Linked DNA regions of Diceros bicornis minor. The protein of the gene in region 1 purifies or fractionates together with the protein of each later gene. This does not show direct contact. Links are inferred from orthologs where the notes say so. Each region holds a gene or a part of one and is shown in the gene's direction. Other genes may lie near its edges.

Region 1 (7,161 bases):
TAGTTGCCATTGTTTAACATACAGGAATTGCACATAAAAATCCAAATTTCTGGTTTCTCTTGAAAAATCAGAAGATCTGGCAACATTTGGCTACTGTCCCTTCTGATTGAACACTCTTGTAGTGGACATGTGTGATCCTTTCGGCTGTCAGCATCTGAGCCCCCATCCTAAGTTTAGGGATGTCCCAGGTCACAAGTCCTGGTGGGAGGAAGACGTCATTTCCCACCATTCAAGCTGTAGACTGGTACGCGCTAGCAGGTGACCCAGGCCTGGCCAATTAGGCATGCTCTTAATGGAGCACTAGTTTTAGGAAGAATCCAGTACAGGAGAGAACTGGCAAATTCCTTCTCACAGTAGAAACGGTGAAACCAACACTCGGTTTCTAGGAGTAGTAGCACGGAAAGGTCGGCAGCAGCAGTTTCCTTACTGGATGGTTCCATGGAGTAATTCTGACCATGGTTTCAGTTCCATGGCCTGTCTTTGTCCCATTTTCCAAACCAGGTTCTCCAGCCTTCCTACTAATTATGAGCTATCCAATATTTCGTCGCTACATTCCTTTTCTGCTTAAATCTTCCATCTACAAACTCCGCCCCCTCGAGGCAGGGCATAATTTCCACCGAACCCTCTTCCTTTATATATTAACTTTCAGACTATTTATAGACATATGAGCCTGTAACTCCAGGCTTTATCTCTCGCTTTCTCTTTAAAGTAACAGAACTTTGGCACTGGGAGAGAAGCTAAGGACCATCTAGCGCAAGGCTCTGCAAAGTAACGAGAAAAGCGTCCCAGAGGCGCCTCCCCCCCACCATTACCCCTCACATCTCATTGGGCAGAACTGGGTCACATGCTCACCCTTTAAGCCAATCAGGGGACTAGGGTTGCTGTGATTGGCTTCGTCCAGGACAGTAGTTAAACTTTCGCTGAATGTTAGAATCACCTGGGAAGCTTTTTAAAATGCCAGTGCCCGGTCCCACCCCACAGGCCAAATTTAATTTGTCTGGCTGGACTTCTGGCATTGGACTTGTTTAAAATCCTCAGGTGCTTTTAATGCCATCCCTCTCTCTAGTCAAGCCCCGTGCCCCTGCCCATTTTAGAAGTGCCAATACTGAGGTCCAAAGAGATATTAAGTAACTTGCCCAAAGGACTATACCTTCAATTAATAGCAAAAACAGAAACAAACAAAACCACACGCATACAAATGACATTTAATAGGACACCTTTGTTTTTCCAGAAAAATGCATGTGAGTATCCTTTCTTTTTCTTAGAAAGTGAAGTCATAGGGAGCTCACGGATTGAGAAGCAGTAGAGGGTAGGACAGTGGTTCTCAAACTTGAGCGCATCAGAATCCCCTGGAGGGCTTGTTACAACACAGATGACTGGGCCCACCCCCAGAGTTTCAGATTCAATGGGTTTGGGGTGGGGAGAAGAATAATTAACATTTCTAACAAGTTCCCAGGGGCTGCTGCTGCTGGTGCAGGGACCACACTAGCACTGGGCTAAGAGCTTGGGCTATAGAATCACACTGTCTTGATAAGATCCAGTTCTGTCCCTTACACCAAGTCAGAATGTGGGCAAGTTACCTAATATATCTATGAAATGGGGCCAGTGATATAGCTTGGAACTATCGCAACAATTGAGTGAGTATAATAAATGTAAAGGACTTACAACAGTGTCTGGCCCATAGTAGCTGCCTAATGAATAGTAGCTATTATCATTCACTCATTCATGGAAGACTTATTGAGTGCTTCCTTTGAGCCAGGCAGTATTCCAGACACCAGGAGTCCAGTGGTGAATAAGTGAAAGCCTCACCTCTCAATGAGGTTACAGTCCGTGGGGGAGGCACACAATAGACGAACTTGTAAATATATAATATAATGTCCCACAGAAGAATTCTGCATTGCCCGCAAACTGAACAGCAGGTGCACACAGAGTTTTATGAGAACTTGGTCCAGTCTGTTCATATCTTCTAGCTCAAGGAGGTGGCAACATCATGTTTCTAATGCAAAGGCCCCTTAGCAGGATGGCTCTTACCAGGGTAGTTGAATAAAGCCCAGGTAATGGCATTTTTAGTCAGGGTTCTCCAGAGAAACAGAACCAATAGAATATATAGATACACAAAATTTATATTTATACTTATATTTATGTAGATTTTAAAATATATTTTATATTATGTATTATACAATAAATATATATTATATTAATAATATATTTATATAATAAATATATATTTAATATTTTTAATATATTTTATATATTCATATTTGTATAGATATTTATATAAGGTGTATATATCATAGGAATTGGCTCACGGAATTATGGAGGCTGAGCAGTCCCATGATCTGCCATCTTCAAGCTGAAGACCCAGGAAAGCTGGTGGTATAATTCAGTCTGAATCCAGATGACTGGAAATCAAGAGTGCCGATGTTCGATGTTCAAAGGCAGGAGAAGATGGATGTCTCAGCTCCAAAAGGGAGCAAATTCACCCTTCCTCTGCCTTTTTGTTCTATTCAGGACCTCAATGGATTGGATGGTGCCCACCGGCATTGATGAGGGGGATCTCCTTTGCTCGGTCTACCAATTCAAATGCCAATCTCTTCCAGAAAGACCCTTAGGGACACACCTCCAAAAATAATATTTTACCATCTCTCTGGGCATCCCTTAGCCCGGTCAAGTTGACACATAAAATTAACCCTCACAGGCATAGTCACACCAGCCAATTCTTTAGATTTTGTTTGGGAGGGAACATTTGGAACAAGAACAGGATGGTGGAGAGTATGTTCGAAGGGAAGGAGAGAGTGAGGTGGCAGTGCATTGGAAGCTTTACGTATGTTATTTCATTTCATCCTCACAACCATCTTGGAGCAGATGTTATTGGATGAGGAGAGAAGTAACCCGCCCAAGGCTGGGGGGGGGGGGGGGAAGAGGCATGCTAAGGATCTGAAAAACGAGTGTCGGAGTTGGCCTGGGAGGAAGCAGAGAATAGGGCACTGTCATACCACAAGCCACATCTCACCTCCTTCTTCTCGGTCCCCAGGCAGGGGCTAGGGTGAAGCCATAACTGCCCTCATGTATTTCCCCAGTGTCCCTCTACTCTGTTCCTAAAGCAGGTGACAGTGATAATAATAAGACGCAAGGAGCTGCGACTTCTGAATCAGAACACTTCTGACCCCAAGGCAGCCTCATCTCCTCCCAGTATTGTTGTCTTTCCCAACATGTTAAAAAACAAAAACAAAAACTTTATTATGGATGTAACACACACTCATTGCCGGGAAACACAGATCAGCCAAATAGGAGAAAATAAAGTGGTCTATAATCCCCTCACCTCAGAAAAACACTAGGATTTTGAGACCGATGCTCCTCAGTATCTTCAGATCCGAGGGACGCGTCCTCTGTGCTTATTAACTAGCGCTTTCCGGTTACCGTATTAACCTAACTGGAAGTTTATTTTTTGTTTTCACTCTGGAGTTGTTTCTGGAGGATGGTTCTCTACATTTTGTTGGGTGAGGGACGCGGATTTGGGAGACGGATTGGAGTTGCGTTTGTTTGGAGTTGTTTTTGAATTCGAATTACTACCAGGTTGGGGGCCAAAAGGTATTGTGAGCCTTTTCTTCAAACGGGCATCCATCTTCAAGTATTGGCCGTGTCATTTGGGGTTGTTTTTTCCTAAGGATTCTTTAGCGCTGGCAGCTTTCTGTTCCTTTGAACGGTGTTTGAACTTTGGTGATGGCTGGACTGGGCTTCGGCCGTGAGACTTTAATTTGTGATGACTGGCGGCTGCAGGGGGTGGCCTCGCCTCGCCCCCTCTCCCTGGGCTCGGGAAGCCCCTTGGCGCGGCAGAGAGGGCAGCACCGGCTAGAAGGGCGGAGCCGGAGGGAGGGTGGCGGCCGGCGCCTCCCGGTAACCTGGCAACCTGCGCCTTAGCAACGGAAAGGGGGCGGGACCAAGGGAGGAAGTCGGAAGCAGGCGGCTAACTCTCGCGAGAGTTACGTTTGCGCGCGAACTCTGTTAGGGTCCCTGCGCTGGATCGCGCTGGTCGCTGAGCAGGTCCCTTGGGGGTCGCGACGACCCCAGCGGACCTGGTCACCCTCGTCTCCCCGCCATGGAGACCTCCGTACACAAGCAGCAGCAGCAGCAGCAGCCCGCGGCGGCCAAGATCAGGAACCTGCCCTGGTAGGAGGCCCGGCTGCCGGGAAAGGGGCTGGGCCGCGCGGGGAGGCGGTGGCCCAGCTGGGCAAGTGGCCGGGCCCGCTGCCCCCGGACCTGCGGCCGGGGCGGAGCCACAGAGGTTCATCTCGACACCCCACCCCGCTCCGTTCTATTTAGGACTTTTGCCGGGTTCCCCACCCACCGATTCCTTTGCCCGAAGAGGAAAGCGGCTTTCGCACGCATCTGCACAAGGGGTCGATCCCGCGTCTTTTGACATTGCATTGGCCTCTGTGCCAAAACGTCATTCCCTCTTGCCAAAATCTTAAGTAAAATAATGATGATAATAATAATAACGCTCCCTAGTTAACTTATTTAAACGGCTTTCTATTAGATTAGCAGGCACCCTATTAGATGTTTGATCTTTACAAAGACCATGGGAGGTAGATACTGTCATTATTCCAGTTTTACACTTGAGGAAACTGTGTCTTAAAGATTAAATGCCTTGGCTGAGGTCCAGAGCTAGAAAATAGGCTTGGGTTTGAACCCAGGAGGTCTGGATTCAGAGCTTGCACTCTTAACCATCCTACTTCCATAGCTATCCTAGTGATGCTTTAAAGACTTGGATGGGATTTGGCTTGCTGTCGGAAAACTCCAAGTTGTTCTTGTCTAATAACGAGTTCAGTTTGTTTTTATCGTGGTTAAAACACATAACATACAATTTACAGTTGTAACCATTTTAAAGTGTACAATTCAATTGCATAAAGTTGTGCAACCATCCCAATATCTCAATTTCAAAAATTTTCATCATCCCAAATGGAAACCCCATACCCATTGACAGTCACTCCCCATTCCTCCCTCCCTTAGCGCCTCCTGGCAACCACTAATCTGCTTTCTGTCTCTATGGATTTGCCTATTCTGGACGTTTCCTATAAATTGAATCATATAATATATGGCCTTTTGTAACTAACTGGCTTCTTTGACTCAGCATAATGTTTTCACTGTCCATCATATGGATATACTACCATTTATTTATTCATTCATCTGTTGATGTATATTTGGGTACAAGTTCAATTTTGAATTCACTTTGAAATAATAGTTGCCCATCCAGGTTGAGATTATAGGCAGACAGCTGGAAAGGTGAAATTAGAAATTACTGACATTTTGGGCCAGATACTTTGTCGGGGGGAGGGCATCGGGGCTGTCCTGTGCATTGTAGGATGTTTAGCAACGTCCCTGGGGCCTATCCACTAGATGCCAGGAGCATCCACCCAGTTGTGACAATGGAAAATGTCTCTAGATATTGCCAAATGTTCCCTGGAGGATAAAATCACCCCTGGTTGAGAACCACTGGTTTAAATTCAAACCTAAAGGGTTTTATTCCTCTTCCTCTTTTAGTGAGGATATGAAAGGATTCTTTTGCACATACCAAAATGTTCTTTAATTTATGTATGTTGTAATCCTTGCTAAATTGTATTTTAGGGTTGAGAAATACCGGCCGCAGACACTGAATGATCTTATTTCTCATCAGGACATTTTGAGTACCAGTAAGTATCCAGGTGACAGCTGCTGTTATTCTAGCCGAAGGACCTGTATACATTTCCTGGTGATGTTGTCTCTACTGAGTAATAACTGTGAAGAATCTGATTGAGCTTTATGGAATGTGGCTTTAAAACTTGAGTCCTTAAGGGGCTGGCCTGTGGCGCAGCGGTTAAGTTCGTGTGTCACATTCCCCTTGGCGGCTGGCATTGCTGGTTCGGATCCTGGGCGCGGACCTACTCACTGCTCATCAAGCCATGCTGAGGCAGCGTCCCACATAGAGAGAGCTACAACTCGACAACTGTGATATACAACTATGTACTGGGGCTTTGGGGAGAAAAAAGAAAAAGAGGAAAGTTGGCAACAGATGTTAGAGCAGGGCCAATCTTCCTCAAAAGAAAAGAATTGAGTGCTTCCCATTTTTCATTCCTGCACCTGCCTCTGGTTTGAACATAGGGCTGAAGTGCATTCAGCCCAACTCGTAGGGCCCACAGTGAATGAGGCAACTCGCAGAGACTGACGGTGTTTCTTTTTCTTCCCAATCCTCAGTTCACAAATTTATCAGTGAAGATCGGCTGCCGCACCTGCTTCTCTATGGTCCTCCAGGGACAGGAAAGACGTCCACCATCCTAGCCTGTGCTAAACAGCTGTACAAAGAGAAAGAATTCGGCTCCATGGTCTTAGAGGTAAATAACAAGATTATTCTTAGTCTATCAAGGACGCCAGCCTCTTACTTTTAGTTCTGCTAGTTTCCTTTTACTTTAAAAGTCATTTGCCCTACTGGCAGTTGGGAAAGAAGCAGACATAACATAAGATATTTCAGTTCACTTTTTTCTATAATTGTCTGGATTGGCATTAGCGACAGGGCAGTTGTAGGGCTAGGCTTTGTTTTTTATTTTTCTTTTTTTTGCTGTTGCCACCTTTTACCCAAACACTTGGTGGTCTGTCAGTTGCTGGCTGTTTCCCATGTGCGCCTCCCGGTAGCTTCTCCACGTCTCTCCGCCCTGTCCTTGCCCCGGGCAGCTGAGCTGTGTTGACTACAAGCTCCCTTGCCCGCTGGCTCCTGGTTGGGTTTGGCCAGTAGAGGCCTTGGCAGGGGTCAGGGGAAGGAGACTAATGCCGGGTCCTGCCCTGGGGGTCACTACAGGCTGGCGGCATCCCCACCTGCAGGGCGCATCACACAGCCCTCCCCAGGTGCCAATATCAGTCCTGCCCCTGACCCCATAAGACCTGGGGGTGGTAATGGGCCCCAGTAGTCCCTGAGGTATCACATAGCCCTTGTGGTTTCCCCACACCCCACCAACACCTTTTAAAATATCTCTTCCTGGGCCGGCCTGATGGCATAGTGGTTAAGTTCAGTTGCTCCGCTTCGGCAGCTGGGGGTTCGCAGGTTCGGATCCCAGTCGCGCACCAACGCACCGCTTGTCAAGCCATGCTGTGGCGGCGTCTCACGTAAAGTAGAGGAAGATGGGCGCAGAT
Region 2 (7,821 bases), on another chromosome or scaffold:
AGTAAATCTTAGGACCTACTTTTTGAATAGCAACTCATACAAAGAAGTACCAGCAACCAAAAATAATTAAGAGATAATACTAAGGGCCAGCCCAGTGGCTTAGCGGTTAAGTGCGCGCGCTCCGCTACTGGCAGCCCCGGTTTGGATCCCGGGCGCGCACCAACGCACCACTTTTCTGGCCATGCTGAGGCCGCATCCCACATACAGCAACTAGAAGGATGTGCAACTATGACATACAACTATCTACCGGGGCTTTGGGGGGAAAAAAAAAAAGGAGGCGGATTGGCAATAGATGTTAGCTCAGAGCTGGTCTTCCTCAGCAAAAAAGAGGAGGATTAGCACAGATGTTAGCTCAGGCGTGATCTTCCTCACAAAAAAAAAAAAAAAGAGAGATAACACTAACCTTGACTTGTGCCTCTTAAAAATTTTTATTAATGCCATATATTTTTTTAATTTTGAAAACTCAAATTTACAGAAATCTCAAACTTACAGAGAAGTTGCAGATACAGTGCAAAAAATTATTTTTCCATTTGAGAGTAAGTTGCTAACATCCTACAGGTACATTCTCCTGCAAACTAACAAAGCAACCATCAAAACATCAAAACCAGGAATTTAACATTGATACTTTATTACCATCTAATCCTCAGATCTCCATTCAAGTTTAATCACTTGTCACAATGATGCCTGCTATGGCAAATGGATCCAGTCCAGAATCATATATTGCACTGAGTTGTTGTATCTCCTGACAGTCTCCATAAGTCACAGAAACTCTTCTTAATATCCTCTTCTCCATACCCATTCTCTTATTCCCCACTGGTGCTCTGGAGTTTCTCCCTCAATCCCTTCCTCCCTACTCAATGCAAACCCGATACCCAGCTTTCCCCTTCCCACCTGCCTCTTCAGTCCTTTCTCTCAATTCTGTATGACAGAAGCCAGGGAGCCAGGTTGAAGACAACTTGCAGATGAGGAGGTGAGGGCAAAATTCCCCTTCGTTGGTAGGTTGGGGGATTGAGGGGCAAGGCTGAGAATATACATATGGTCATACAGTTTGTTTTGTCAGTCTTTCCTGAGTTTATCTCAATGGCCTCTTGAATTATTCAGAATGTTCCTAAATATCTTTAGTACATATTTACATCTTTTATATAGATCAATTATATCTTGAGTCTCCCTAGTTTTCCTTCCTTTCCTTTGCCTTCCTTTCCTCTTGTATCCTTTATGATACCTTCAGTTCAAGTTACAGAAAACCCAACTCAAACTATCTTAAACTATAAAGGGGATTCATTGGCTAATACCAACTTTAGGGTTAGTTTGATTCAAAGGTCAGACTTCCTAACTCTCTTCTCTACCACCATTACCTTATTTTAAGGCTGTTTAATTTTATACACCTTCTGGAACCAGTAGAACTCCTTCCTGGACGTATATCAGTAGTGCGAACATGCTTATCTCCCAGAGGCACCCAGAATATCTCTTCACTTGTCTTCTTGGCCCAAACTAGGTCACGTGCCCACCTTTGAACCAATAACTGACTGTGGCCAGGAGGTGGAATTATGCAGATTAGTTTAGGTGGATCCAGAGCCAGGGGTGGAATTAGCTTTCCCCAATATGTGGGCCAAGTAGGGGAAGTGTAGATACCAGAATAACAACAGTGATGGTTATCAAGAGAAGGGGATATAATATTGGAGAGAAAATGACATAGTCCACCTTTTCTCCATGTACTGACTACAGTGTGTCATTGAAAAAAAGCACAGAAGTTGAAGTTGGAGACTTGGTTAAACACTAACTTTGGAAATATCTCTGAGCTACAGTTTCTACTTCTGTAAGTTGACAATAATGTAAATGTCTTCCACAGGGCTGGCGTAAAGGCTGAATAATATGGCCATGTAACAGCACACATTAATTTACAAAAAGTTTAAAGACTACAAGTATGTATCTGGCTTTGTGCTAGGTGCTGGGAATCAAAACAGGAATGAGACCTAGGACTTGCCTTCATAGTCCAATGGGGGAAACACACACACACATAAGCAGGAATTTATAATATAATGCAGTGAGTGCAATGAGTAGAAGCACAGAAACCTGCAACCTAATCCAGCCTAAGGCAAAGTGGAAGGAAAAAGGTATCAGGGACAGTTTCTTGGAGAAGGTGAACCCTGATCTGAGTCTTAAGCGTCTTCTTGGGTTGGCCACATGTGCTTTTCTCTTTTCCCTTCCAAAACCCCTTCAAAATAACAATTAATTTATTTAAAACTGGATTAATTAAACAATTAATTTAAAACTGGATTAAGGCCAAGTAGAAGAGTAGAGAACATAAAAGAACACTACAGAGTTCCACAAATTTTTGGAAGATGGAAAGTGGATGGAGGAGTAGTCATTGCTCTAGCCAACTGATGGAAGTTACATCCTAAACTGCAGAGGGGGAACCATTCAGAATTGGGCCAACTCTCCCTGAAGACTTCTGAGAAACTCAGGCTAGCAGGCCTCAGATACATCCTTTTAAAATTTTAGTCACTTAAAAAAAATTTGCAACCCCTGTCCTGACATTTCTTTCCTTATCCTACTTCCTGCATTATTTTCTCCTCAGCATTTATACCTCTTGCCATTTATTTCACTTATCATTTTTATTATATGTCTCTTCTAAAATGAATATAAACTCTAAGAGGATAGGGATTTTGTCAGTTTTTTTTACAGCTGCTTTGTTCTAGCTGGCACATATCAGGCAATCAATAGTATTTATGGAACAAATGGATGGATGGATGGATGGATGGATGAATAGCATAGCACATGGCAGTGAAGTATGGGAATGAAAAAAAGGAGACAGTTAAAATTAGAGTTATGTACTCCAGGTCCAGTGCCCTATTCCATACATTTAGGTGACCTCTCCCCATTGCTTCCACCCAACTTCATGAGATGTAACCACCCCTGCCCCCAAAGAGATTGGAGGAGAAGCTGAATGGTCCCAGATAAAAGACCTCACCTATTAACATTGGCAAGTTCCTCAACGAAAATGCCAGCTCATCTCCTGATTGTTCTATAGATGAGCCCACTAATGAGTCTGAGAAAAATGAGTCTGAGCATTCTCTCTGTGTGTATTTCTCTCTTCTTCAGTACTCTGTCCTGCAAACTCTAGCTGCTTTGTCTCCCTGGACTCTGCTCTGTCTCCTCAACTCAGGGAGTCCACAGGCTTTGCCTGGATTCCCACTCCCTGCACCATGACCCAGAAACTCTCTGACCGCAGTGAGCTGGGACAACTGAAACCACCCACAAAGCCAGAGTTCTATTGAGTGGTAAAATTATGGTAGAAAATGGCCAGATTTATCAAAATCCACTCACCTGGCTCAATGATCTTCTAGGAGGTGACAGTTATGTGACCTGGAATTATGCTTGGAGTAAGGTAACATATCTAGGGAAGGAGCTTTTAAAGTATATTTCTGAGGAAGTACCCATACATCCAGAACCAACCTTGGTAGCTCAGCAACATCAACCTTGCCTTCCAGGAACTTCCAGAGAGTCAATGCAAAGCATCCTACATTTTCTACAAATAAATGAAATACTATTTATCAGCCATCAAGAATGTCTCCCATATTTAGTTATAAAAAACCCAAACCAGGGTCCGGCCCCCTGGCCTAGTGGTTAAGTTCGTGCTCCACTGGCCCGGGGTTCACAAGTTCGGATCCCAGGAGCAGACCTACACCACTCTGTCAGCCATGCTTGTGGCAGCGAGCCACATATAAAGTGGAGGAAGACTGGCACAGATGTTAGCTCAGGGCTAATCTTTCTCAAGCAAAAAAAGAGGAAGATTGCCAACAGATGTTAGCTCAGGGCAATCTTCCGCAGGAAAGAGAAAGAAAGAAAGAGTGTATACTTAGAAGACTGAAGGTAGTGCAGTCTCCCTTCCCGGAAAACCTATCCAAGGGCCAACAATTTTCAAAGAAAAAGTAATTACCACTAATTTCACTGGAGAAATTTGTACCCTTTATGTTGTCAAGACAATAGCAAATACCAAAAAGATGGACACAATGACATCAATAGTTAAAATTAGTTTGCGTAACCCGACCTAACACGGTGGCTTCCTGTTATTATTTGATATGTTCTTTTACCTGCCTTGTTTCAGCTCTTGCATACCATGCAGTTAAAACTATGCACTCAAACAAAATAAACATACTTTATATTTATGTAATTGCAACTTTAACGTAAAAAAATAGTAAAAGTTAAATTCATGAAAACCATGCAAATGACGTATGAGATTATTACTACAAACCAGCAAACTATTGGTATCCTGCGACGACTCAACCCACACCAACCAGCTGAGCCAAGGACCTCGCGCTCCTATCTGCTCGCGAGGACGAAATCCATGGGAAGAAATGCCCCTTAGCTCAGTTAAGGGTAAAAAGTCGAAATCTCGGACCACGAATGGGCATATCTCGAGGCAGGACGCTTGTCAAAATAACATTTATTCCATGTGGGAGGAATGTAAACATTATTTCCTTTTCTGTATTTTTCAAATTTCCACTTTTAAATAGGAGCTAGCCTGGTGCGTCAAAAGTCTAGGGCTTTAATTCTGCCACCAAGTGACTTTCGTCAAATCACGTCCTCATCCGTGAAACTGGGCGTGAAAAGTCCAAATCTCCAAAACCCCCGCTAGTTTTAAATTCCACGGTGAAGCAATCCCGCCTCCTGTAGGTTCGCCAAAGAACTATTATGGCCCTCTCGGCTTGCCGTCCGGAGAGCCTCCGGAAGCAACCCTGAGCTCCGCCCCCTGCGCTCAGGACGGCGCGAAAACCCAATTGACAAGAACTCCTTCCGAAGCCGGTGGGTCCGATCTACGTTCGGCCTGCTTTCCCCACGGGAGCCCCAGTCCCGAGCGCTCAGCCTGGAGCGCCCGCCTCGGGGACACCCGCGCTCACCGGCCGCGCCCCAGGGTCCTCGCTGCCCGCGCTTTCTCACCGCCTCTTCCCGCGTTCGACTCGGCTGAACTGGGCCCAGCCTCCGCCACCGCTCCGGGCGGGTGGCCGAGGGGGAGTCCGAGACCGACCCCGCGGCCCAGCTCCTCGCCTTTGCAGGAGCCGGCCGCCTCCATGGCCTCCAGGCAGGCCGGCCCGGGCCGCGCAAGGTCCTAGGAGCCGGGATTCCGGGAAGCAGGGATTATGGTGGGGGTCTTGGCCATGGCGGCGGCAGCTGCTCCCCCTCCGGTGAAGGACTACGAGATTGAGGTGAGCTTGAGTATCTCCGTCTGTTGGGGGTGGGAGAAAGGTGATCCCGACTTTGGATCTATGAGGGGAAAGGAGGGACATGATGAGGCCCCACAGTTGTGACATTGTGTGGACCAGTTGCTGGAGTGTCTTTTCTGAAAGTGATAGGTCCTGACAAACATTGGGATTGTGAGATGTTTGCGGGGCCAGGTAAATCAGGATTTAAGATATCTCGACCAGTGCCCAGACCCTGAAATGTTGGTGGAACTTGATGTTTTGTACTTGCGGAATGTCATGGAGGATCCCAGGGTCAAGTCTGGGTTCATGATAAGGGATCATAGAACTTTAGCGTTGAAAAGAATCTTTAAGTTCCACTAGTCCATCCATCTACCTATTCTAGGAATACCGTTTAGATTGTCATTTCAGGAATCAACCAAGGTACTTAATTGAAAAATCATTTTCTCACGGCTCCAGAGCTTAAGATACTGCAGTTAGGAGTCTGCTGTTATTTGCCTGTGTTCATCAAGTTTCAGTGAAATGCACTAAGCAGTATTTATAAAGGGATTCTAATGCCATGAAGTAGTGAAGTGGCATCTTAAAGTAGACGATTGCTATATTTTTATACCTTTTCATCTCAAACTAGGATTCTAACTGAAGTATGCATACTGGTGTCCTTGAAGCGAACCAAGATGTATGTCCACTTATTTAACTGGGCTCATTCTTATTTTTTAGAATTGAGTAACTTTTGTCTTCTTGCTAATAGTTGTTATGTTGATACTTGCTTCCTAAATCAAGGCAGTTGCTCAGCTTGTGTCAGGTGTGAAGAAGGACTTTTGGTACTTGAATTACACAGTTCTTGATTTTTGTCAGTTTTATCAATCTTTTCGTTACAGTTTCTGCTTTTGGTGCCTTGCTTAGAGAACCTATTTCACAGTAATAATACTGTTTACTCTTGTAAGGATAAAGGCCTTATACACATTATTTTACTTAATATCAACTCTGTGATGAGGTATTATTATCTATATTCTACAGATGAGAGAGGAAGTTTAAAAATTAATTAAAAGTAAATTAAGTTAGGAAAAGTAAATTATAAAGTTAAAAGTAACTTACTGGGCCGGCCCCGTGGCTTAGCGGTTAAGTGCGCGCGCTCCGCTGCTGGCGGCCCGGGTTCGGATCCCGGGCGCGCACCGACACACCGCTTCTCCGGCCATGCTGAGGCCGCGTCCCACATACAGCAACTAGAAGAATGTGCAGCTATGACATACAACTATCTACTGGGGCTTTGGGGGAAAAATAAATAAATAAAATTATTAAAAAAAAAAAAGTAATTTACTTAAGGTCCTACACTGGTAGATGTCAGAGCTATCACTTGAACTTAGATCTGCCTGACTCCAGAGCCTATGGTATAGTGCCTCTGACACCATCTCAGGGTAATAATAATAACGCTAACTCATTAGCATTTTCTTGTAATACCTTTACCATTTCATCTTAACATATAAAATTTTAATCTGTCTGTAATTTATTTTGCCTTATATTTATCCAAATGGTTAGAAATGTGCCCCAATACCATTTATTAACTACTTCTTTGCCCACTAACTTGAATGGTACTGTTATCATACACCTAGTTCTTAAATATATACTTATGTCTTTTTCTGGTTTTCTAATCCATTCCATTAAATTGTCTCCATATTCATGCATCAGTACTATGCTTTTAATCATGATAGCTTTATAATATGTTTTCATTTTCTGGAAGTATAATTCTCCCATTCATTACTTATCTTTTTTTTGTGTGTGTGTGTGAGGAAGATTAGCCCTGAGCTAATATCCCTTGCCAATCCTCCTCTTTTTGCTGAGGAAGATTGGCCCTGGGCTAACATCCATGCCCATCTTCTTCTGCTTTATATAGGATGCCGCCACAGCATGGCTTCACAAGCAGTGCATCGGTCTGCACCCAGCATCCGAACCTGGGAACCCTGGGCCTCCAAAGCGGAGCTCACAAACTTAAGTGCTATGCCACTGAGCAGGCCCCTCATTACTTATCTTTTGAAAAATTTCCTTGTTATTCTGGCAAGTTTATTCTAACAAATGAACTGAGGGAAGTTAAAATTAAAGAAAACACTGATAGAGCTTTTTGTAACTAATAAGCTTTTTCTGTTATATGTGGGAATGAATAAGAGAAACCACCAAATTGGAGTTGGAAGGCCTGAAGGGGGAGCTCTCATGCCCTATTATATATTGTCAATTACACCAACCAGAAAAAGACCCTGGCTTGCATCTTTGACAGGATGTAAAACTACTTTACTATTGCGGGAAAATTTCTCTCCCCACTGGGCAACAGCCTCAGCCAGTGAGAAACACGGCGTCTCAGCCAGTGAGAAGCCAATTGCTCCCTGAACTGTTTCTTTCCCCCAATTGACTTTCATTTAGAACAGCCCGTCCCTACTCCCTCTTTTTCTCTATAAAGGCAACTCCCTTCCTTTGTTTTCTGGATTTGCCTATGGTTTGCCGTAGCCTGCACATCCCCAGTTGCAATTGTTTTGGCTATTCCTGAATAAACTTGTTCTGAGGATAAAATAACAGGCAAATTTGCTTTTTAAGTTGACATATGTAAGTTACTAATTTATGACCCAACAAA

Evidence for each region. The genes of interacting proteins can lie anywhere in the genome.
Region 2: the proteins of RFC5 (region 1) and ATAD5 purify together in Homo sapiens (affinity purification with mass spectrometry; 4 studies listed by BioGRID and IntAct, counting the BioPlex papers as one, with this or other methods). This does not show direct contact. The link is inferred for Diceros bicornis minor from reciprocal best matches to the Homo sapiens genes RFC5 and ATAD5.

What each region holds. Positions count from the first base shown.
Region 1 is NC_080774.1:15,032,505-15,039,665, forward strand, and holds the start of RFC5 (replication factor C subunit 5), read left to right. Parts: upstream 1-4,009; 5' UTR 4,010-4,099; coding exon 4,100-4,170; intron 4,171-5,625; coding exon 5,626-5,690; intron 5,691-6,231; coding exon 6,232-6,368; intron 6,369-7,161. UniProt on the Homo sapiens protein: Subunit of the replication factor C (RFC) complex which acts during elongation of primed DNA templates by DNA polymerases delta and epsilon, and is necessary for ATP-dependent loading of proliferating cell nuclear antigen (PCNA) onto primed DNA.
Region 2 is NC_080757.1:21,094,845-21,102,665, forward strand, and holds the start of ATAD5 (ATPase family AAA domain-containing protein 5), read left to right. Parts: upstream 1-4,778; 5' UTR 4,779-5,141; coding exon 5,142-5,207; intron 5,208-7,821. UniProt on the Homo sapiens protein: Has an important role in DNA replication and in maintaining genome integrity during replication stress.